4 linked regions of the Schizosaccharomyces pombe genome follow. Each later gene encodes a partner of the first gene's protein in a complex. Each region holds a gene or a part of one and is shown in the gene's direction. Other genes may lie near its edges. The genes, in order: arp42, ssr4, snf22 and rsc7.

Region 1 (5,186 bases):
TTCGCTACAGCTGGATATACTAACTTAAATCCGCTAATGTTTGCTCTTCCCCATCATATGCAAAGTTTTGGTTCTGACACTCAAGCGTACAAAACAGGTTTAGGCTTAGCCAGTACAACAATGGGTATAATGTTTGCCTATGCTACTAAAACTTGGCATTTAATCGAAAAAAATCTTCCAACGCAGGTAGGTTTTTTACCAATTCCTTGGAATGGTGGAAGCAATACGTATTCTCCTACTGCTTTAGCCGCGATTCGTGCAGCTTGTGCAACTGATATTAACTTCGATGTCGTAAATGCCAGTAACCTTGACTCAATGTACACGTCTGGAAAAATAGTAGCCATGTATGCTCAAGTTTGTTTGGTAGCTTCTAGAATCCTTGGTGATAGCACTCTCACTAACACTGGATTGACAAAATTGAAGCAAGCCATGGCTAGATTTACTACGAATACGCAAATGTATCCCCTCGTTTATGATACCACATATAAAGGTATCATCAGTACGGCAGGATATAGTTCTCCTTTAGCAGATTATGGTAATACCTACTATAATGACCATCATTTTCACTGGGGTTATCATATTTACGCATGTGCGGTAATTGGTCTATTGGATCCTTCCTGGCTGGTTAATGATAACATTCGCTATGTAAATGCTTTATTAAGAGACAGTGCAAATCCAAGTGAAAGTGACACCTATTTTGCTATGTTTAGAAACTTCGACTGGTTTGTTGGACATTCATGGGCAACAGGTATATTTGAAAGTGGAGACGGTAAAGATGAAGAGTCAACCTCAGAAGACTTCAACTTTCTGTATGCAACGAAATTGTGGGGTATGGTGAGAAATGATACTGTTCTTATCAACCGTGCAAACTTGATGCTCGCCGTCCTAAAGAACAGTTTAAATACCTACATATACATGACACCCACTACTTCAGTACAGCCTTCACAAATTCTCGGCAATTACGTGACAGGAATTACATTCATGAACAAAGTTGATTATGCAACTTACTTTTCAGCTGAAGAATATTGTAAACAAGGCATTCACATGATTCCAACTACGCCTATCAGCGGATACCTTCGTTCTCCATCTTACGTTCAACAAGACTGGAACGCCAAAATTGCTCCGATAATAAATACATTTTCAAACAATTGGACTGGTATTTTATGGTCCAATTATGCAATTTACGATCCAAAAACTGCATACAATACCTTTGCTGCCAGTACCTTTACTGCTGATAAAATTGATAACGGAGCTAGTAAAACCTGGTACTTAGCTATGGCTGCTGGTATGGGTGGATCACCATGATGGCAAGGGAGCTAATGAAAAACTGAAGCATTACTTTTCGTTTCAAAATTATGTAACCATTTCAAAACAACACATAGAGAGAGCTACCTATTAGCTTTTTAAAACACTATCATTTGTTTTAAAGTTTTAATGAAATACTAATACTATGAAATAGAAAACGTAGCTATTAATGCAAAAAAACTGCTTATTCAAGTTGGCTTACTTCGAAGTTTTCCATAAATATTAAAGACAGAAAATTACTTTTTCGCTTCTGCATTGTTTTAAAACATTAACTAGTTCAATGGCTTAAGAAACAAATAAATGAATATTTCTAAAGTATATGATCAAAAAAGCCGTAAATTGTAGAGTTCACTATTCACGACTACTGAACGCCTTAACACTTTCAACGATGCATTAAATTTCTTTATATAGTATTGCTATCCAACACACGAAACTAAGGTTTACGAGACTAATAATTATATAATTCCTGCATCTACTAAAAGGATATTTTATCCATTTAAAACTATACTAAACTATTTACATAGACATGGGTAAGTGCGGTTAATCAACCATAATATGTGTTGAGACGAAGACAATGGCATGAAATGGCTAATGACCATACTTTAGAGGAAATTCCGTCATTGGTAATAGATCCTGGGAGTTGTTGGACAAGATTTGGTTATGCAGGAGAAGAAAGTCCGATGACTATCTTACCTTCATATTACGGTGTTCGATCTGATGTGACTGGTCGAAATAAATATGTTGTTGATGAGTTACAAATTCATGCTCCTATCCCAGGAATGGAAGTCAAAAACGGAAAAAGTAATGGGATTATACAAGATTGGGAATCTACTTTGTACACGTGGGAGCGTGGACTGAAAGAAAAACTACAGGTAAATCCCACAGAGTATGCTATGATGATTACTGAGCCTAGCTGGAATCCGCAATCTGTTAGACAACAAATCATGGAAGCTGCTTTCGAGCAACTTCATGTTCCTGCTTTTTATTTGACAAAACAAGCTGTTTGCGTGGCATTTGCCAATAGCAAATCTACAGCGCTAATTGTCGATATAGGCTCAGATAATGCTAGCGTTACTCCTGTTGTCGATGGATTGATTATACGCAAAGGAATTTTTAAACAAAGTTTAGCTGGCGACTTTTTGAATGCTAATATTGAGCAATTGTTTAATACTATGAACATAGAATTTCCTCCACACTATAGAATTGCTAGAAAATCGGTTGCCATTCAACAATCAGGTAATATGGCTAACGGCAGCGCAGATGCCGTGAAACCAGCTGTACTGTATCCACCTATTCAAGATCTTACCTCTTCTTACGAAATTTTTCAGAAGCGTAGGGTCATAGAAGAATGGAAAGAAAGCGTTTTAGATGTTTTGGATACCCCGTTTGATGAAGCAAAAGCATCCTCTAGAAACCCTAAGCCTTTTGAATTTCCGGATGGGGTTACACATAAGTTTGGTCAAGAGAGGTTTCGCATTAGTGAAATACTCTTTAATCCCTCGTTTTCAGCCAGCAGAAGTGCTGAAACAACGCCTCCACAGGGTTCCGTGGGTCTTCATGAACTTGTTTATCAATCCATCCTTGCTTGCGACTCTGAATTACGTTCTCCTCTATTGAACAACATTGTAGTTACCGGAGGAACTTCCTTAATACCTGGATTATCAGAAAGGTTACAAGCTGAGGTTCAGCGGTTGGCTACTGGAAGTCGCATCAATGTTCATACCGCAGAAACCGCTTCTGCCACAAGCAACGCCGTTTGGTTTGGTGGCTCAATTCTTGCTAGTTTGGATAATTTTCAACATTTGTGGGTATCTAAGCAAGAGTACGATGAAGTAGGTGTTGACAGAGCTTTGTTTGTTGAGAAAAGATGCAAGTAATCCGCCTGTGTTATTTGCTCACAAAAAATAAAGTCTTCAAAACCCAAGAGAGTATAAAATAAATTTACGAAATCTCGCATAACACGTCCATAATTCTTTCTTTTTTGCTGAGCTTTATCAACGTTGTATATAACAAAATCAAATACCCAAAGTGCTTCGAATTAATTATTAAATCTAATTTAACATAAATGTATGAAACAATTCTAATTTCAAGCAAAATTGTCAGAAACATTCTAAAGCTTTTTTTTTTACTTTCTGCCTAACGATATAAGAGCAGCATAAAGTTGCATTAAAGCAGATTGATTAGCTTCCGAGGTACCAACAACCGAAATAAACTTCTCATTGCTGTTTGAGTCTGATTCCTCAACAGTTATGTTAGCATTTGTATTCTGAGATATTTCCATCAGTTTATGAGGCTAGAACAATATAGTTAGTATACTTATCTGAAATATTTATAAGAGCTTACCATAGCGTGATAAAGTTGATCGAGTAAAGAAGATGGAACGGACATTTTCTGAGATACGACTTGGGTTGCAGCTATATTTAAAGGAATCGAGGGTCCAGAGTGAGGAAATACTTGAGTGGTTCGAAGGGGATCAGGATTTCCTCCGGCACTAGTGAGAGCTATAGGAGGGATTCCATAAGGGTTTTCAGGTGTTACCATACTACTCATATGATTAAATTGTGTAAAAGTAGAAGGCGAACCATATATGCCATATGCAGCATCTGGAATGTAAGGTACAACGCTAACGCGGGGAATGAAAGAAATTCTTGAAAGGATGTATTTTAATAAAGTTTCAATAACAACTGAAGCATCTATTTCATTAGTTTCCAAGGTAACCAGTCTTTCAGAGGATCTGGGTAGGAGAGATGCTGAGTATAAAAGCTTGGTTGAATTGGAAACAGAAAACAAAGAAGGAATTAAGTTCTGGTGAATCAGAACTTTTGAACCCAATATTAAAGATGATACTGCTAAATTGATGTTCAAGGAAGCGTCTTCTTCTTTAGTAGGAGTGACAACTTTTATAAGTGCAGGTATACTAGAAGCAAGGTTTGAAACACTTGAAGTGCATATGAATATCTTTCTAGCAGTATTTGAAGAAGAGTATGTCTCTACACGAACTTGGCCATTTTTTAATATTTCCTGTTGAATATCCTGCGGTAACAAATTCCATTCTTGGACTTGCTGAGCAGTTAACACTAATCGAACGCGACATTCATTTTCATTGTCTCCAAAAGTTTGGGCAGCTGTTAAAACGGGAGGTCGAAGAATGTCCGCTGAAATTGAAACCACTGATGTACCAGAGTCCATATTGGATATCTCTTAGTTGGCAATTTGGATATTGCTGCATACAACGGTGTTCCATCTACGTAGGAAGAAGTGCGTTATTCTTCGCTATGCAATCAATTTTTTGAAATATAGAAATCTACAAGTTTTCATATTATTTTATGCTTTCACAATTGATAACAGTTATAATTATTGATTTATCACAGTTGGTTATTGTAAAGAGTATGCATATAAGCAACACTAACAAACGATGGACTCGGTTTAAACCAACGAACTCGCACAGTTTCAAAACTGAAACGAAGTAGATATGTATCGCTCACTTAGTAATTAGATTATTGAGGTTTGATGATCTCATATTTGTCATTACATGGTAGGCTTTTTACCAACAAACGTAACAATTTTATCTATTTACTCAGACGAAAGTTTAAGAAATGCGTTGCCGTAAGGAGAGTAGTAAAAATAGTTTTCTATAATAATCAAATTTTGTGAAGCATCAGAAAAACTTTATTTAAATCTCAAATAGAACATAAAAACGATAATCAGCGAGAGGAGCTGCAACATATAGGTATCATGGCCTTATAGTAAGCCTTATAGATGCAAAATCTATACATCAACTTGCATTTCATCAAGATCTTGAACAGTTACGAACTTGTAAATGTCCTCTTTCAGAACTGCAGTGGTGCCGCGATCATAGGTGTACTTAGATTGTTTTGTTG
Region 2 (4,375 bases), on another chromosome or scaffold:
TTTGTTGCATTAGACCCCCCTGGTGTTCTTTTAGACAAAGCTGCCAAACCCATTCGTTCTTTTCTAAATGAACGAGAAGATGCATATAAATGCTTGGTTTCCTTATTGTTTGTTGACGGTGAAAAAGGCCTACGCTCTGAGCTTTCTCAAATTCCCACTGAAAACATCGACTCAACAACGGATCGATTTGATAATTACCACTGGATGCCGGATCCGATTGATGCGGCTCCTGACTTTAAAAAACCAACCGATAGAGACGTTGTTGGAAGTCTCATTTCCATTTTTAAAAGCAAGGAGCCCTTAGTGAAGGAATTACAATTGTTACTAGCTGATCGACTTTTACAACTTACAGATTATCATTATGAAGTTGAGGTTTGTTTTATTCTATTTAAGTTGAATTTTCTAACGTTTTTTAGGCAAAAAATATAGAGTTTTTAAAGTATCGATTTGGAGAGACTGTTCTGCAAATGTGTAGTGTTATGCTGAACGATATTGAGAATTCAAGATTTATTGATCAGAGCATCCACATGGAGAACTATGTTTCGAAAGGTTTGCACGTAACTATTTTATCAAGATTATTTTGGCCTACTTTGTCTGTTCGATATTTTCATTTACCTGGCCCTCTGAAAAAAGAACTCGATGCATATGCTGAAGAATACAGAGAAAGAAAGAGAAAAAGGGAGCTTGTTTTTTTACCCAACTTAGGATCGGTAGAGTTGGAAATTGAGCTTGAGGATAGAACACTCACGTTGACAGTTACACCGGAGCAAGCTGCCTTTATATCACTTTTTGAAGAGACTTCTACATTACATATTGAGAAAGCTGCTGAACTTTTAGATCAGCCGAAAGAAATAGTTGAGCGACATTTGAAATTTTGGCTTCATCATCGAGTGCTTACCGACATCGGCGACGACCGATATCGTGTTCGTGAAACTGAAGCCGAAACCGCGACAGAAACTGTACTTGATGAAATCCAAGGGGTATCAGCTGTTCAAAGTGAAGCCGAAAGCAGTGCCGCTGAGATGCGTGTTTACTGGTATGTTTCTTTATTAAAACTAAAATTTGTAATTAATAAAAAAAGGTCTTTTGTTGTAGGAATGTTGACGAACCTTGGAGCTCTTGAGCTTGAACGAATTCACAACATGCTCACGATGTTTATCCCACCGCCAAACGGCTATACTCGTACCCAGAGCGAGCTAAGAGAATTTCTAGCATTAATGATCAAAGAGGAAAAGTTGGAGTTTACTGGAGGAGCTTATAAGCTCAAATAATTAATGGCTATAGAATCCTTTGTCTGTTAAGAAAAGCCTTGGGATTTTTATGAACTTTTTTATGGACATCTCATTTAATTTTACGAAAACCATCACTTATACATTGCATGTCTATTGGCATATTGTCTACTAATGATTAGCAGCTAACTGTTACTATTTAAGTATGTCTTTACATTCATGCTCTTGTTTAGCTATTTACGATTCTACGATGGTTAAACGGATCTGATCAAGATAGTTGTAATGAACACAGAGACACTAGAGTATGTTTATACATTACCTAGAGTTTCGTATAGATACTGTAAATATTAGAAATTTCATTTAAACAGTGAAAACTGATGTAACATCGTTATATGAAATAGTGCAACAGAACAAAGCCAAAACTTCTGCATCTTGATAGATATGAGTAAGTTGTACCATCCAAAACTTACATATAATTAAAATCAACAATGGCGGCTACAATGGCAGCTCAGAGTCTATTATCGATTCCAGTGGAATACCGATCTCAGGTATGGTGTCGAGCGAATTTACCATATCCACCAGCACCACAATTACCAATCCCTGCTGTCGTAGATATATTAACAAAAGCGTCCCAGGCTTTACCACAGGTAGTTTTTAGAAGACTTCAATATATGTTTTTTCTAACAAATTTTAGATTTCATTTTCTTGGACTCTCATAGATCAACCACCAGATGGTTCCTTGTTTTTAGTTTGGCAAGCACCTACATTACCATCTCCACCAGATGGAATGCATTTTATGAGCAATGAAAGGTTTTTTAATATGGACGTTGCAGGAAAGGTAAGTTGCTCACAAGCACTGCGGTATAAGGGATCATTAAGCAATTGTCTAGGAACTTGCATATGTGTATCCCCGTTTATTTTAAAATAAATGCTTCAAATAAATTATTATTTTACTGAATTTATAAGTTTACTAATACAATACGATAGGTACTAGAAATTCATGAAGCAAAACACGGTTTTTATCCACTATCTGAAACTCGAACTATGCATGTTAGATGCCGATATCGATTATTAGGAGTTGGTTTTGATAATTTTTGGCTTGTACACTATTTTCAAGGTTCAGAAACTGATAGCATTCCTGCGAATATATCAGTTGCCAAACCACCTCATTTACGACGATACCCTTTACCAGACGTTAAAACTTCTCCATTTTTGCTTCAAGAACCAAAAAAACATATTCCAGAAGGTACAGCTTTATCACAGAGAGAAACCTTGCCAAATATGGGATCTGCTCAGATGAAGTCCCAATCAAGGACTCCATCGTTCTCTAATGTTACTACGTCTCCTGTTCCTCCTATCAATTCTAATGCAACAGCACAGACTGCAGAAGGACACATGGGTGCAACGAATATGACAGTCGATAACATGAACAAGCCATCCATTCCTCCAAATGGCAATACTTCAATTCTAATGCAAGAGGATTTAGAGATTGAAAAGGGTGATGTTATGGATAAACTTTCTCCGCAACAAATTTGTACGGCTCGATTTATCAAACACGCAGAATGGATGAGTCAAGTACTTTTGACACTTCAATCAGTCAAAGACATCGAACCTCCAGCACTATGGCAAGAACCTAATTCAATGGAAGAACTTGGTAAAGAGTTGAAAGATAACAAGGAGCAACTTGTAAAACAAGATCAGAAGTATCAAAGTCTCCAAGGTGATCTTTCCTACACTGATAGCATGTCCAACTTATTAAAAGAATTTTCCAACATCAAGTCGGCAGAAGAATGTGATGTCTTACAAAAAAAAATTGAGGAGTTCGCTGAAGCCAAAATCGTTCCTTTAAGTCACGTTACGGAAAGATCATAGAAGATTTAAAGTGTAGTATAGAAAAAACATGTTGAGGCTAATCAGAAAGAAGATTTGAAAAGTACGTACGTCCTACTTTAAAGCCTTGTCGCTTAATGATAGAATGCCATTGTCATTAGGGTAAACAAACAAGCACTGATATTCCTACATCGAATTTTTTTACCTTGTTTTAGGAGGATTGGGTGAAGGTGACAGAAAAATGAAATATTTTATAATGACAGGTAGATAGTTAAGAGTATGGTTCCGAATAATTTCATACATAGTATAAGGACGATGCGCTTCATATCAAAACTGGAATTTTGTTTGCCGATCTTCAACAAGCTTATTTAGTACTTCCCCTAGAGTCTTTTGTTTTTCCAGTAGTTCCAAGTATTCAACACGCATTGTCTGGAACATAGCCTTCCATTCGCTTTCCTGAATTTCCCAACTACTTTTTTTGACACAGCTTGACTCTAATTCTTCAATCTTTTTTTCTATTTTCTTATAAAGTTGTTTATCAGTTTCTAACGCTTCAGTTGCAGTTAAGAGCTCGTCTTTGTTCTGTTTACTGGTGGAAATCAATGCCTGGACCCCGGCAGCATAGCTCAAACTCGCACCTGCAAGAAACCCTACGATTCTAATAATTAGCAAGTAGTAATAGGCATATCATCACACACCCACTTCGTAGATACGACATCTTCATTCAATTGACTGTTCTAAGTACCATAGCCGTTTCTACCTTATTAAGACAGAACTCTCAGACCAGATATATGATAGTGCATTGCATAACGTTATTTGGTTTAATGAAGTTTAACTACGACTTCGTAGATGAAAGGACGGTGCTTCGTAATGAAGATGACAGGAACACAAACAGAGTCAGAGAGAATACATGCAGATAGGAGCTGCGACAGAAGGCGTAGAAGCTGACTTGTCGGTGAATGCTGAGCCCGATGTGAAGCCTATAGCGAAAATGCTGTCAGCTTGTGTAGGAAGTGTAATTACAACGCTGACTGTAACGCCTTTAGATGTTGTGAAAACCCGCTTGCAGAGTGAATCTATTTCTCAATATTCTTCTACGCAACCCATTTCTTCAGCAAAGATATTGGGGAAGGGAAGGCCAGCTCCAAAGCCTTTAGGAGGCCCGGTATCCGGACTTTATCAGATCGCTCGGCATGAAGGTGTTAGAAGCTTGTGGCGTGGATTAGTTCCTTCATTGACAATGCTCTTGCCAGCAAACACTGTACAGTTTCTTGGGTATGAGCAATTACTTCCCTTATACAGTGATTGGGGCTTTC
Region 3 (8,019 bases), on another chromosome or scaffold:
TTTCATATAACAATAATTACCTCATCTGTTACAATTATATATTGCATGCCATCATATAGTAGATCGCAATGAAGCTCGTCGCTCTTTTACGTAACGTTAAAGCAGATACCGAGTTGCATAGCTGACAGACATAATAGAAATTATTAAATCTGTACGGTATATATTTTTGCGATGATCCCGCTTATATCACTCGCTCCTGTTCTTTACTTTCATCTGGTTGAATGCAGAGTATGAAGGATTATGTGGAAAAAACACTAAACTACATTTATCGTTCATTCTATGCCACAGAATTCACTCTAGTTAAACCATGGTTTAAGCAAATCTACGGAGTACGTAGCAATATATAACGAGGATTTGTGAGTTGTGTGCTGAGAAATAACCTATTCAATTGCAAGCAAGTGTGGAAACTTAATTAATAGCGTACGTGGACCTACTACAGTAGAGCATATAGCGAGTGTATATAGAGAACGCAATTAGGCAAATAAAAAAAAAATACATTTAGGCAGGTTGGACAGATGGGCAAAAAAGGTAGCAGAAGTTAATTGCGGTTGATGAGATCCGAATTTTCGATGTTAAGTTAGGCAGATGATTGAAAGTAAACCAAAGGATTTCGAAATTCATATATGGTATTGGGAATTGATTATCAGCAGAGTAGGAAAATTAATTACATGCTTTTAATCCCCGAAAACCATCTATCCCATTACGATAGTGACCCATAGTTAATTATGTCTTACAGCATCCTTTTTCCTCCTTGATAGTATGCATGTCTTAATGAATCCATGCATATGATTCAGGAAATACAAATACATCTTCCTTTCAAAACCTTTTAACCAATATATACTGCTACTAAAACCAGACCTGAAATTGCTTTTGGGTTGGTAAGTTTTGCAAGTGGTCTCTTTGAATCATTTTTCATGGGAAAGATATACTCTCTTATGTTAAGTAGGAAATCATGATTTTCATTAGACTGCACATTCTAAAAGGGTCCACTTCTTCCTTTGACAGATTACAAAATTTGCGGATCCAGACATCTTTCTCACTTACTGGTTTACCACTTTACGCCGAGTTCCCAATCCGATTAGTTATTGCACCATTCAAAATTTGGAAAATCAATGCAAATGATTTAATGTTCCCTGCCTCGTCTATCGTACTGATATATTTATTTCATTACCTGTATTTTCCAATCCTTTCCCTTTCACTTTTTTAAAACAAATTGTATGGAAAAGCATTATGATAGCCAAGTTCTCTACAATTACTGTTAATGAGTAATTGTCATATATTCTATAAGATACATTTTATCAGCTTATCCTAATCTATACGATTCTAATTAATTTCCTCTTTTATTAGTTTTCAAGTTTGAAAATTTCAAGGATGTTTTGTTGACTGCCAAGCCGATGGTATATTGTGGTCTTTAACCTTCTTATTTTCAGGGGAACCCCATTAGTGCCGTCGTCTGTTTATACCGAGAATAAGTCGATTTCCGCATTCGCAAGTATTTATTCCTTTAAATGCTTGCATTCCCCTCGTATTTTCTTTGGAGTCTTTTTTTTATTTTTTTTGGCTTGCTTCGTTCAACGAACGAAAGCTCTGAAACTCACTCATCCACTTTTTAGCAAATACACCTTCCCCACATTTTTCTCTACATTCAAGAAAAAATGTACCTTCTATCTTGATCATTCACATTTGCATTGATTCACTGTTTCATTCATTTCGTATATATCGGATATGTGGTGGATTGAATTGAAGAATGCTAGCTCACCGCGAAACAGTGTCTGTACACTACAATGGTAAACGAATTTGAGTACGCTTTGCATCTCTCATTATATCTTCGTTTATGCAATCTAACACATAGTTTGCTAGTTTATTTAGCATCCTATTTTTTATTTCGCAATGCTAATCTTTTCCGAAAAAAAAAAGTTGACGTTATTACTATATAACGCAACGTAATTATGATCCATAAATCGTCAAATTAAACTGGAGGGGTTTTTTTTTTTTTTTAAGGATGAGCTGGCCTTCGGTTTCCCTTCAAGTTTTGCTTCACTAGGGTGATTGTACTTTTTTTAATCAAACCATGCTTTTTAATCTTTTACTCTGCTGTGTTTGCAAATTGATTGAGGTTGCAGACTCTTTTCGTTGCTTCTCACTACCGTGTGCTGCTTTTGTTTTCTATTCTTCCTGCCACCAACCGCCATCTTCAATCTCGTAGACCCACATTTCCCCTTTTTCCTCTATTATTTATTCAATTGAAGCCTATATGTTTATTTAAAAAGTTCTTTTCTTTCTACACTGTATATTTTCTAAAGCTGGGTCCTTCTGGTTTCTTTTTTCACTCTATACTTTAACGCTTTAAATTTTAATACTTTGTTGAAAGACGCGATCTCTTTCTTAAAGGTCAAAGTTACTCAATTGAAATTTTTTTTTAAAGGGATTTGTTTTTTCTTTTAAAGTAATCTTTATTAAACTTTTTCTCTCGTTGTTTTTTAAGTGCACCAAATTATCCATTTGTACGTTGAGGGTTTTCGGTCATTGTTGTTGTAATATTGATTTGCGATTTACTAAAACACATTTCTCCGATGTTTGCTGTTCAAGGGAATCAGAAATTTCCGAAAGGGTTGACCAAGGATAATATACAATCTCTTTATCAACAATGGCAGGTAATGAGAAACCAAGGTGCTACGGAGGAAAATAACCCCGAGTTTGCTCAAATTAGTTCCATTTTAAGGATGGTTCAAAGAGCTCATTATGCCCGTATGCAGCAGATGCGGAACCAATCTTCTGAATTTCCTGATGCTGAGAACACCAATCTTCGAAAGCAGCAGGATACTCTTCCTACTACAGGATTTAACAATCTCCCAGAAGGAAAAGCTGGTATGCAAACTCTTCCTGGTAGGCCTGCTTCTAATGGACCAACCCCTCCTAACCCTGGCAATGGAAATGTCGGATTAAACAATCCTTCCTACATGAATAGTCAAGCATCGCCAAACATTATGAATGCTCCTTTACAAAGGGATACTTCAGTACCTCCTGCACCTAGTATGGTTCATCCACATACAAATACGAATGCGAATAGTAATAATTTGAAAGTGTATGCGAACCAACTATCCCAACAAAACACCTCCAATCCCACTTATCATAATGCTTATGATATGGCATCCATGATGAAAAATGGTTCTCGTATGAATAACTCTTTTCCTCCTACCACACCTTATCCACCTGCTAACGACACTACTGTCAATTCCTCTCTTCCTCATTCCTTTGCCTCCCCTTCGTCCACATTTGAACAACCACATACAGTTCAATCGAGAGCTCCGTCAGTTGATACAACATCAAGTTCTCACAGCTTTAGTGCTAGGAATATACCTGCTAATGTCTCGATGCAGCAGCAAATGGGCCGAAGAGGCTCGATACCTGTAAACCCATCAACTTTCTCAGCTTCTTCCCCTCCGTCTGGTTCTATGTTGGCTTCTCCATACAACGGGTATCAGAATGATGCTGCTTCCTTTGCTCATTCGAAGCTCCCTTCTTCCGCAAATCCAAATACTCCTTTTAACTCTACGGCTACTGTAGACGTTGGTGCAGCCGGTTCGCATTTTCCCTATCCTCAGCCCTCTAACCTTGATGCTATTAATGCTAAAACATACTTTCAATCTTCTTCTAATTCCCCGGCACCATATGTATATAGAAATAACCTACCGCCTTCTGCAACTTCTTTTCAACCTTCTTCATCTCGATCACCTTCAGTAGATCCAAATACTGTGAAGTCTGCGCAGCATATACCTCGAATGTCTCCCTCACCCTCCGCATCAGCTTTAAAAACACAATCTCACGTACCTTCTGCAAAAGTGCCTCCTACTTCCAAACTTAATCATGCTCAACTTGCTATGCTGAAAAGTCAGATAGTTGCATATAACTGTTTGAATTCCCCAAATGGACAAGTCCCTCCTGCTGTGCAACAAGCCATATTTGGCAGGGTCTATGGAGCTTCGAATGAAGTTTCTCCTTCAATGCCATTTCAGCAAAACGTTCCTCAAATGTCGTCTGTAAAGAAGGATACTCCTACAAGAGATGCAAACATGCGTACCTCTAAGGCACCCTACATTCAGAATATTCCAAATCAATTTCAAAGACGAGCCTATTCTGCTACGATTCCTGTCAAGAATGAGTCTCTTGCAAAACCATCAGTTTCACCTATGCCGTTACAACAGTCGACTGGAAAAACCGAGGTTGCTAAAAGAGCACAGTTTCCCACAAACGTCAACTACTCTTCTTGCGTAGATCCAAGAACTTATGTTAAAACGCCTATTCCCTTCAGTAAGTTTTCCTCTTCGGAAAACCTATCGCTCATCCCATCACTCTTGCCTCCTAGTATATCATGGGATGATGTTTTTCTCTCTTCTGAGATTGCAATTGCTTGTTCAATTGCTAACAGAATTGATTTTCTAGAAAAGGAGAACAGGCCAAAGTCGGTGAACAAAAAAATATTGCAACAAGACAAGTCAAAATCAATGATTGAGTTGCGTTGTCTGCGTTTATTAGAAAAACAACGATCTCTACGCGAGACAATAAATTCAGTCATTCCTCACTCGGATAGTTTGGCTGCAGGAAATTTAAGACTTATGTTTCGAAACGTGAAACGGCAAACGATGCAAGAAGCCAATTTAGTTTTAGCCCTTGCTGAGAAACAAAAAACCGAACATGCCATGAGACAAAAAGAAAAGCTTCTAACTCACCTAAGGTCTATCATGCTGCACAGAAAGTCAATTGTGACAAAAGTGGACAAGCAGAATAAAGCTAAAACTCAGCGATGCAAGGATATTATAAATTTTCATGCCCATCTAGAAAAGGAAGAGAAAAAACGAATCGAACGTAGTGCTCGTCAAAGATTACAGGCTCTCCGTGCTGATGACGAAGCCGCATATTTGCAGTTACTAGACAAGGCGAAAGATACTCGTATCACTCATCTTTTAAAACAAACTGATCAGTATTTGGAAAATCTTACACGTGCCGTCCGGATTCAACAATCCAATATTCACAGTGGAAATACTTCTGGAAAAGGTAGCAATTCTGCCGAATTAGAAGCCCCAATTAGTGAGGAAGATAAGAATCTTGATTATTTTAAAGTGGCTCACCGTATTCATGAAGAGGTTGAGCAGCCAAAGATTTTTGTTGGTGGCACTCTAAAAGACTATCAATTGAAGGGTCTTGAATGGATGTTGTCGCTATACAATAACAACCTCAATGGGATCCTGGCTGACGAGATGGGTTTGGGTAAAACAATCCAAACTATTGCGTTTATCACATATTTGATTGAGAAAAAAAATCAGCAAGGACCATTTCTTATTATAGTACCATTGTCTACTCTAACAAATTGGATTATGGAATTCGAAAAATGGGCTCCCAGTGTTAAGAAAATAGCTTATAAAGGCCCTCCGCAATTGAGAAAAACATTACAATCCCAAATCCGATCTAGCAATTTCAACGTCTTGCTCACCACATTTGAATATATCATTAAGGATCGTCCTTTACTTTCTCGGATTAAATGGGTTCACATGATTATAGATGAAGGGCACCGTATAAAAAATACCCAATCAAAGTTAACGAGTACTTTATCTACTTATTATCATTCCCAGTATCGTCTCATTTTGACTGGTACACCTTTGCAAAATAACCTACCAGAGCTTTGGGCTCTTCTTAACTTTGTCTTACCAAAAATCTTCAATTCAATTAAAAGTTTTGATGAATGGTTCAATACACCTTTTGCTAATACTGGTGGACAAGATAAAATAGGGCTTAATGAAGAAGAAGCTTTACTTATTATAAAACGTTTGCATAAAGTCCTTCGACCATTTTTGTTCCGAAGACTTAAAAAAGACGTCGAAAAGGAGCTACCCGACAAGGTTGAGAAAGTCATCAAGTGCCCTCTTTCAGGCTTGCAATTAAAATTGTACCAACAAATGAAGAAGCATGGTATGCTTTTTGTGGATGGTGAGAAAGGAAAAACGGGTATTAAAGGACTACAGAACACGGTTATGCAACTTAAGAAGATATGCAATCATCCGTTCATATTTGAAGATGTTGAAAGAGCCATCGATCCATCCGGAACTAACGTCGACTTGCTTTGGAGAGCTGCTGGCAAGTTTGAGCTGTTAGATCGTATTCTTCCAAAGCTGTTTTTAACAGGTCATAAAACCCTTATGTTCTTTCAAATGACTCAGATCATGACTATAATGGAGGATTATTTGCGATCAAAGAATTGGAAATATCTTCGTTTAGATGGTTCAACAAAATCTGACGATCGATGCTCCCTTCTTGCACAGTTCAACGATCCAAAGTCAGATGTTTACATTTTCATGCTTAGTACTCGTGCTGGTGGGTTGGGTCTCAACTTACAAACTGCTGACACTGTCATAATTTTTGATACCGATTGGAATCCCCATCAGGATTTGCAAGCTCAAGATCGTGCTCATCGTATCGGGCAGACCAAAGAGGTGCGAATTCTCCGTTTGATCACGGAAAAGTCTATTGAAGAGAACATTCTTTCTCGAGCTCAGTATAAGCTTGACCTTGATGGAAAAGTTATCCAAGCTGGTAAGTTTGACAACAAGTCTACACCTGAGGAGCGTGAAGCTTTTTTACGTTCTTTACTTGAACATGATGGCGACGATGATCATGACTTAACTTACGGCGAACTTCAAGATGATGAGTTGAACGAGTTGATTTCTAGAACAGATGAAGAGCTCGTACTTTTTAAAAAATTAGATAAAGAACGTGCAGCTACCGATATATATGGTAAAGGTAAACCGCTGGAACGTTTACTTACTGTAAATGAACTTCCTGACTTTTATAAAGTCGAGGTTGACAGTTTTGCAGTTCAAAGCTCTAGTGAGTTGGAGGATCAGTATCTCGAAAGAAAGCGACGTCGTCGTAATTCTATCAGTTATACGGAATTAACCCTCGACGAATTAAATACAGTTGACGATCCATCTTCCACTCTAATGCCGCGTAAAAGAGGTCGACCGAGAAAAAAAACAAACTCAGGCTCTAGTCTATCAACCCCTTTATCACAAGAATCCAGTTTGGCCAGAAGTGGTCGAAAAAATACACCTTCATATAAGCAGAAGGCACTTAGAAGATATTGTATGGAAATCTTTGAAAGGCTGTATAATCTTCAAAGTGAAGACGGCAGATTCGTTAATGGTCTTTTCCTTTATCCTCCCAACCGCAAACTTTACCCTGATTACTATATAATAATTAAACGACCCATAGCTCTTGGAAAAATTAAAAGGAATATTAAGAATGACCGTTATGGAGATGTTGGAGAACTGATTGCAGATTTTATGCTCATGTTTAATAATGCATATACCTATAATGAAGAGCATTCAATTGTTTACGAGGATGCAAAATTAATGGAAAAAACTCTAAAGGAGGTGATTGAAGATTTAGAAAAAAACAATTCTTTGCATGCATATGAGGAAGAGGCTTTAAATGAGGAACAAGCATCTCTTGTCTTTTTGGAAAACTCTGAAGCAGAGCTACCGTTGGATTCTGGTATAGTAAGCGCCGAAGATGACAAAGTTATTACTTATGAAGATTCTTCTTCTTCTTATTCGGAGTAGGACTAACGTTTTACCTTTTGTCGTTTTATTTTAATGCCTTGTTTATAATATTTTGGTACATTTTGTTAGGTGAGGACTATTGCGACTTCAAAGCTCAGTGAAGACTTAGTCAATCACGAGTTATTCTTCTAAATGTCTAAGCCTGTATAATATATATGTTTATTTCTTAAAAGAATTCAATTTTATTTATTACAGAAGATTACTTCAACAATTAAAAAAGCATTGATATACTTGAGTATAGATTTGTGTTTCACCTGTTACAAATGATGTCTTAATTTAATTAAAGGTGAATAGTTACACACATTTTTAATTTAGCTTGCTACAAAATTCTGTAATCGGTTTCTGTTTGGAGTCGTATGTAGAGCTGCCTAACTTGCGGGTTCGTTTGATACCACGCAAATGA
Region 4 (5,492 bases), on another chromosome or scaffold:
TAAGAGTGTAAAAAATGCACTTACTCGTTTACGTGGAAAGAAAAAGCTAGATCTCTTCCAATGTGCCCGAGTTGATCACAAAGTTCCAATTGAAACTACCATGAAAGCATTGAAGGCTTTTGTAGACTCAGGAGAAATTTCATGTGTCGGTCTTAGCGAGGCTTCTGCTGAAAGCATCAAACGCGCCCTTGCCATCGTGCCTATTGCGGCAGTCGAAACCGAATACTCTCTATTCTCACGAGATATCGAGAAAAATGGCATTCTCGATACTTGTACACAGCTCTCTATCCCAATAATCGCTTACGCGCCTTTCTGTCATGGACTTTTAACTGGGCGTGTCAAGACTGCTGAAGATCTTAAAGACTTTATCAAAGCATTTCCCTTCTTACGGAATATGGACAAGTTTAATCCAAAAGTTTTTGAAAAAAATATCCCGTTTCTTAAAGCAGTCGAGCAATTGGCTCAAAAGTTTGGTATGAGTATGCCTGAATTCGCTCTTAACTTCATTATTGCAAACGGAAAAGGCATGATCATTCCTATTCCTGGATCTACAACTGTTCAACGAGCTGAGAGCAATCTTAGTGCACTCAAGAAATCTTTGAGTTCAGAACAACTTGAAGAGGCTAAAAAAGTTTTGGATAAACATCAAATCTTTGGACTTCGTTACAACAAACAACTTGAATCCACCCTTTCCATCTGAGCATGATTTTAGCAACTTCACCGATTTGAGTTTTTTATTTAATATTTGCATTTAACCTTAACTCCTCTCTAGATTTAGATGTATACATGCTGTGTCATCCTATCGGCATCAATACAATAAAATATTTCTTTAAAAACTAAGACTGTAGTCTTTGAGTTTATTCACACCTTTATATATTATTCTCTATTGTCAGTGATTTATCTTACACTGTGTAAAAAATAGAAAGTAAGGTAGTGTAAGGAACAAGAAAACTTTCAATAAGCTTTGGGTATAATTGAATAATCAGAAACTTCCTTTACACAGAATAATCATGACTTTGGTGACACAATTTTTTAGAATGTCAACTGCTCTGCATAAAGTAATTTAGGAACGAAATTGTAGCCTTGATATAAATTCAACCCTAAAGTATTATGATGGTCTACGGTTATTTCGGTCTAGTCGACGATGCACAAAATGAGATGTCAATAAGCGCGATGCTTCAATCATTTTCTTGAAACTTATTTTAATCAATAGGAATTATCTACAGATAGGTTACGCTCGATTATTAATTGCGATAAGAATTTACATTGAATTGGTTGCCAAGGCTGGAGATTCATTTTTGAATTCAATACAACAATGAAAACCCAACGTATTATGGTGCTTCAAAAAGCGGTGTAGTAGAAAGTATTTTATTTAACTGCTAGTATCTTCTACGACTGACAATCGTTACTCATTTCTTAGGTGTTTTCAATCCTGCATCTAGGAAGACGATCATCATTCTTACTCTTATTGTTTCCGCCAATATGCTTTTGATATTTAGTTATCTAAATAGTAGGCTGCTTGTATCAGTATAACATGTAGCACCAAGGTATGCGTTACTAACAGTAGGATGGGTTTAGTGGTAGTTGTGCTAACTATAACCAAACTCACCACCAAAAAAAGCAATTTTTAACACAGTGCTATTCAGTACGATAAGATTGAACTGTTTATGGAATAAACACCTTGCAATTAAAGTATGGATTCTACGGCTGGCTCCGATGCTTCCACTCCTACAAATCACACGGTAAGCTCGAAGAAGCGAAGAGGACGCCCTCCTAAGGGTAGTTACGCCGCATATGGAAGTAGTGATGATGATGATGAAGAATACTCTGGGCGTACGCGTCGTAGAAATCGTAATACTCGCCCTAGAGTTTCAGCGCCGTCTTCTAGCTCAACAGTAGTACCGAAGGATTTGTACTCACATCGGGCTACTTTGGAAGATGATGAGCTAAACTTTGGTGTAGTAGATCCAGAAGGAGAGAAAAAAGTGAATGAATTGGGGTATTTGAATGGCGGTCGAGAGTATAGATGTCGAACGTTCACGTGCTTAGGTCGTGGTAATCGATTGTATATGCTTTCCACCGAACCAGCGAGAGCAATGGGCTATAGAGATTCGTATTTATTATTTTTGAAGCATCGTTCACTGCATAAAATTATTGTTGATGATTCTGAGAAATGGGACCTTATTGAACGAAATATTATTCCTCATTCTTACAAAGGCCGTGCGGTAGGTATTGTTGCTGCTCGTTCTATCTTTCGTGAATTTGGTGCTAGAATCATCGTTGGTGGTCGACGAATTGTAGACGATTACTGGGAAGGAGAATTCCGCGCTCGTGGTTTCGTCGAAGGAGAATTAGCTGATCCAGACGATAAATTGCCTCCTCCCGGTATGCCATACAATCGAAATCAATACGTCGCTTGGCATGGAGCTAGTGCAGTATATCACCCGCAGCCTTCACTAGAAGCTCAGCTGCCTGCAGCTGCTCGAAAAAGAAAAAAGGAACCTCCAAAAGATGCCACATGGCTTTTTCAACATGCTAAAGCAACTGCAGCTTACAATAATGATATTACAAAATACCTTGTTCAAAAACAGGATATCGGTTATTTTGAACCACATACTAACTTGTTGCATGTTCCCCTTAATACCCAACCTACAAAAACCCATTGGATTCAGGCAAAGACTGGTACGGAATGTCCTGCACCTAAATTGGATATTCTCGTTGCTCTTAACTCGGATGTGGCTCCACAGGTGTCTATTGCAAATATCCCTCCCTCCGTTTATGCGAGTTGTCCACTCCACGTTCAAGAGGCTATTCGCAAACGTCAAGAACAAGAGATTCGTAGTATTCGTTTGAATAGCATGTACTAGAGTGCTCGTTTTCTTTTAATCCTATTTTGTTTTGGATGTTTTATAATATTAATTTTCAGATTGTATACAGTCATTTATCACACGTACGACGTAAGCCCGAATTATCTTCTTACTCGAGTTATTTACGGAGAAAACATGCGTTAACGAAATCCAAAACTTGTTAATCAATTACTTTAGTACTTTGTTTTTGCTTAGTAAAGCGGAAAAAAAGATATTGTCTACAAAAATCAGATGTACATTCAACAAAACTATTAAAGAAATGATGGCGCGACGTTTCCATTGAATGAAACGTTTACCAACCGAAACCAATCGATTAGCTTGTATCCTCTCACTTGTCCTAATCGGTCCAGCCGAGGGCGAAGAATATTATGGAGGATTGTTTGATGAATTATTGGGCATGGTCAGGTCGTAGGTTAAAAACTTTAGGTAAGTCAAAACGTGGCTTTGGCGAAGGAGTATTTGTGAGAAGAACGATTGCTGTTATAATGAATATTAAATAAGCAAAACCGATCACCATCCACATTATAAAGAAAAAACCATTGAATCCCTTCAAATAATACACCAGGTCGACAATATAAGCAACCAAGTGGAGGACAAGGAAAACATACCCGAATTGTCGAAGAATGATAAACTTCTTCATCGTCGCCTGGGTGTACATTTTATATGTGAGCTCACCTCTTACTGCTATCCTGTCGTACCCTGCCATGATGATGAAACCGAGAGAAGTAGATATTCGTGTAACGTGCTTCAAAAAAAAAGAGCGTTTTAAGCAGACGAGAACGGTAAATAAAAAAATGGCTCTTCACGACAAATAAAAAAAAAAGAATGGACTAATTTTCAAGTCCAAGGTGTGTCGCAAAATGTATCTCATCAATATTAAATAGTGAGATCATTCGACGTAATAAATCTTCTATGGACTGAAAGCTATGATTTTTTTGGCATTTTACATTCATCCATTTCCTTGTGTCCTAAGATTTTTTGTTTACTTAGTCTGTTTTGATTACGAAGCAATGAGTGCAAGAGGATCCATTTAACTGCAAGAATTTCGATCACAACTTCCAAACGTCGAGTGCAGAGAATGGATTGACAAACAAAGTTATTATTCTATAAAAGACCAAACTGATAATTTTACTGTTTTTATCTCTTTTCATTGCGGATACAATGTGCTTTACCGCTTTATCATTTTTATAGTAACTATTGAATCATCGAATCTGGAAAATGGTACAGATTTATCACTCGTTGCTGTTGCCGATTTCATCTTTAACACTATCAATATTGTATCTATTATTGCCATGATTTTTTATACTCTTAAAAAGTTCGATATTGAAATCACTAGAGAAGTAATGGATTATTTTACAAGATATTTTGACGGACAGAAATTGAAGAAAAATAACGTATAAATTCAATCATTTAGTCACCTTATTCAATGTTTTTCTAAGAAACAACGCTTCAGCATACTAGCTTTAATGGAAAAATTAACGAAATTCAAGTTTCCATAGAATGGGTGGTGAAGTATGAGAACACATAAGCTGTTAAACTTACAAAATTAGCTTTTAGGAAATTACCAAAGAAAAAAAATCTCAGAAGGAAGAAGCTCAATGTGAATTGCTAATCACCGCAATAAAACTTATTTGGCATTCATTCCGTGACGTTGATCAGGTTCAGTCATAAAGACTGGAGTGTATTTATAGAGGATCATTAGATATATTTTCATCATCGGTCTGACTCTTTGGCTCAAGGCATTGCTTATGAGGAATTTGGTTGACTAGAAAACCTAAGGAGCTGCCAATAATTGATTTGAGGATTATGTTATTAATTTTACATTTTTGGGACCTTCAAATTTTTAAAGTGCATTCATCTTGCTCATATTTTGTATAAAGTTAACAGTGGACCAAGGTTGGAGCACGCCGTCTGCCGGAACTGACATAATACTGAACAGCATAAACTTCATAGTTGTTTGTGTCGTGTTTATTTTTGGTACTTATAAACTCAATATTCTTTGCAAAAAACATGAGCTAGATGAATATTGAGAGATTTCTGAAAAAGCCGTAGTATGAAGAATGAATTTTTATATACAATTTTGAGTCTACAAATAAAATGTACACGTATCCCGCCTAATACCATTTTTGTAAAGTGACTTGTATAGTATTGTTGAGAACAACAAAAATGGAAATGCCCGCTCAATTTCTTTTAACTTTGTGCAAAAGAATAAATAGTGTCCAGTAGCTTACAATTGCAATAAAGAAGAATTTAACTTTTATAACTTGAGATGAAACAAAAATAGATAATTAAATAAGCAATAATAATAAAAAAGAAACGAGAATCTCGAATTTTCAAAGTTTTAACTACCATACTCATTTCGTCTCGACAAGCTGTTTTGTGTTGATAATTTAAATTGTTTAATTATGAGAAATTAAAAGTCTAAGCACTGTAAGTTGACTGAAGTAAAAAGAGTTACTTTCGAAAACGACTCTATTCAAAATCCCTACATCGTATTCATTCAATAACGACTACCGCTGTAAAACCCAAATAATCATTCATTACTTTAATTAACAATCATCATACAAAACAGATTTTTTATAAAGAATTTTAAAAGGATTAAAAATGCATTATATTATTGCTAGT

The links.
Region 2: arp42 (region 1) and ssr4 share a complex: the UniProt entries of both Schizosaccharomyces pombe proteins name them as parts of the RSC complex.
Region 3: arp42 (region 1) and snf22 share a complex: the UniProt entries of both Schizosaccharomyces pombe proteins name them as parts of the SWI/SNF global transcription activator complex.
Region 4: arp42 (region 1) and rsc7 share a complex: the UniProt entries of both Schizosaccharomyces pombe proteins name them as parts of the RSC complex.

Annotation. Positions count from the first base shown.
Region 1 is NC_003424.3:4,351,822-4,357,007, reverse strand, and holds arp42 (SWI/SNF and RSC complex subunit Arp42), read left to right. Parts: upstream 1-1,747; 5' UTR 1,748-1,831; coding exon 1,832-1,835; exon of another isoform or gene 1,836-1,911; coding exon 1,912-3,182; 3' UTR 3,183-3,430; coding exon of another isoform or gene 3,431-3,598; 3' UTR 3,599-3,648; coding exon of another isoform or gene 3,649-4,494; 3' UTR 4,495-4,675; downstream 4,676-5,186. Other genes in the region: cell wall and ascospore endo-1,3-beta-glucanase Eng2, read left to right, coding at 1-1,305; U1 snRNP-associated protein Usp108, read right to left, coding at 3,431-3,598, 3,649-4,494; pup1 (proteasome core particle subunit beta 2), read right to left, coding at 5,074-5,186. UniProt on the Schizosaccharomyces pombe protein: Component of the chromatin structure remodeling complex (RSC), which is involved in transcription regulation and nucleosome positioning. Controls particularly membrane and organelle development genes.
Region 2 is NC_003423.3:2,001,999-2,006,373, forward strand, and holds ssr4 (SWI/SNF and RSC complex subunit Ssr4), read left to right. Parts: upstream 1-1,697; 5' UTR 1,698-1,717; coding exon 1,718-1,876; intron 1,877-1,923; coding exon 1,924-2,067; intron 2,068-2,090; exon of another isoform or gene 2,091-2,216; coding exon 2,217-3,101; 3' UTR 3,102-3,386; coding exon of another isoform or gene 3,387-3,717; 3' UTR 3,718-3,757; coding exon of another isoform or gene 3,758-3,783; 3' UTR 3,784-3,864; downstream 3,865-4,375. Other genes in the region: anaphase-promoting complex cullin family subunit Apc2, read left to right, coding at 1-372, 417-1,036, 1,082-1,271; SPOM_SPBP23A10.17 (uncharacterized protein), read right to left, coding at 3,387-3,717, 3,758-3,783; mtm1 (Mn(2+) ion transporter), read left to right, coding at 3,970-4,375. UniProt on the Schizosaccharomyces pombe protein: Component of the chromatin structure remodeling complex (RSC), which is involved in transcription regulation and nucleosome positioning. Controls particularly membrane and organelle development genes.
Region 3 is NC_003421.2:2,172,220-2,180,238, reverse strand, and holds the start of snf22 (SWI/SNF ATP-dependent chromatin remodeler Snf22), read left to right. Parts: upstream 1-1,998; 5' UTR 1,999-2,573; coding exon 2,574-7,616; 3' UTR 7,617-7,922; coding exon of another isoform or gene 7,923-8,019. Other genes in the region: SPOM_SPCC1620.13 (phosphoglycerate mutase family protein), read right to left, coding at 7,923-8,019. UniProt on the Schizosaccharomyces pombe protein: Helicase. Component of the SWI/SNF complex, an ATP-dependent chromatin remodeling complex, required for the positive and negative regulation of gene expression of a large number of genes.
Region 4 is NC_003421.2:1,387,104-1,392,595, forward strand, and holds rsc7 (RSC complex subunit Rsc7), read left to right. Parts: upstream 1-1,601; 5' UTR 1,602-1,694; coding exon 1,695-2,867; 3' UTR 2,868-4,985; downstream 4,986-5,492. Other genes in the region: akr7 (pyridoxal reductase), read left to right, coding at 1-700. UniProt on the Schizosaccharomyces pombe protein: Component of the chromatin structure remodeling complex (RSC), which is involved in transcription regulation and nucleosome positioning. Controls particularly membrane and organelle development genes.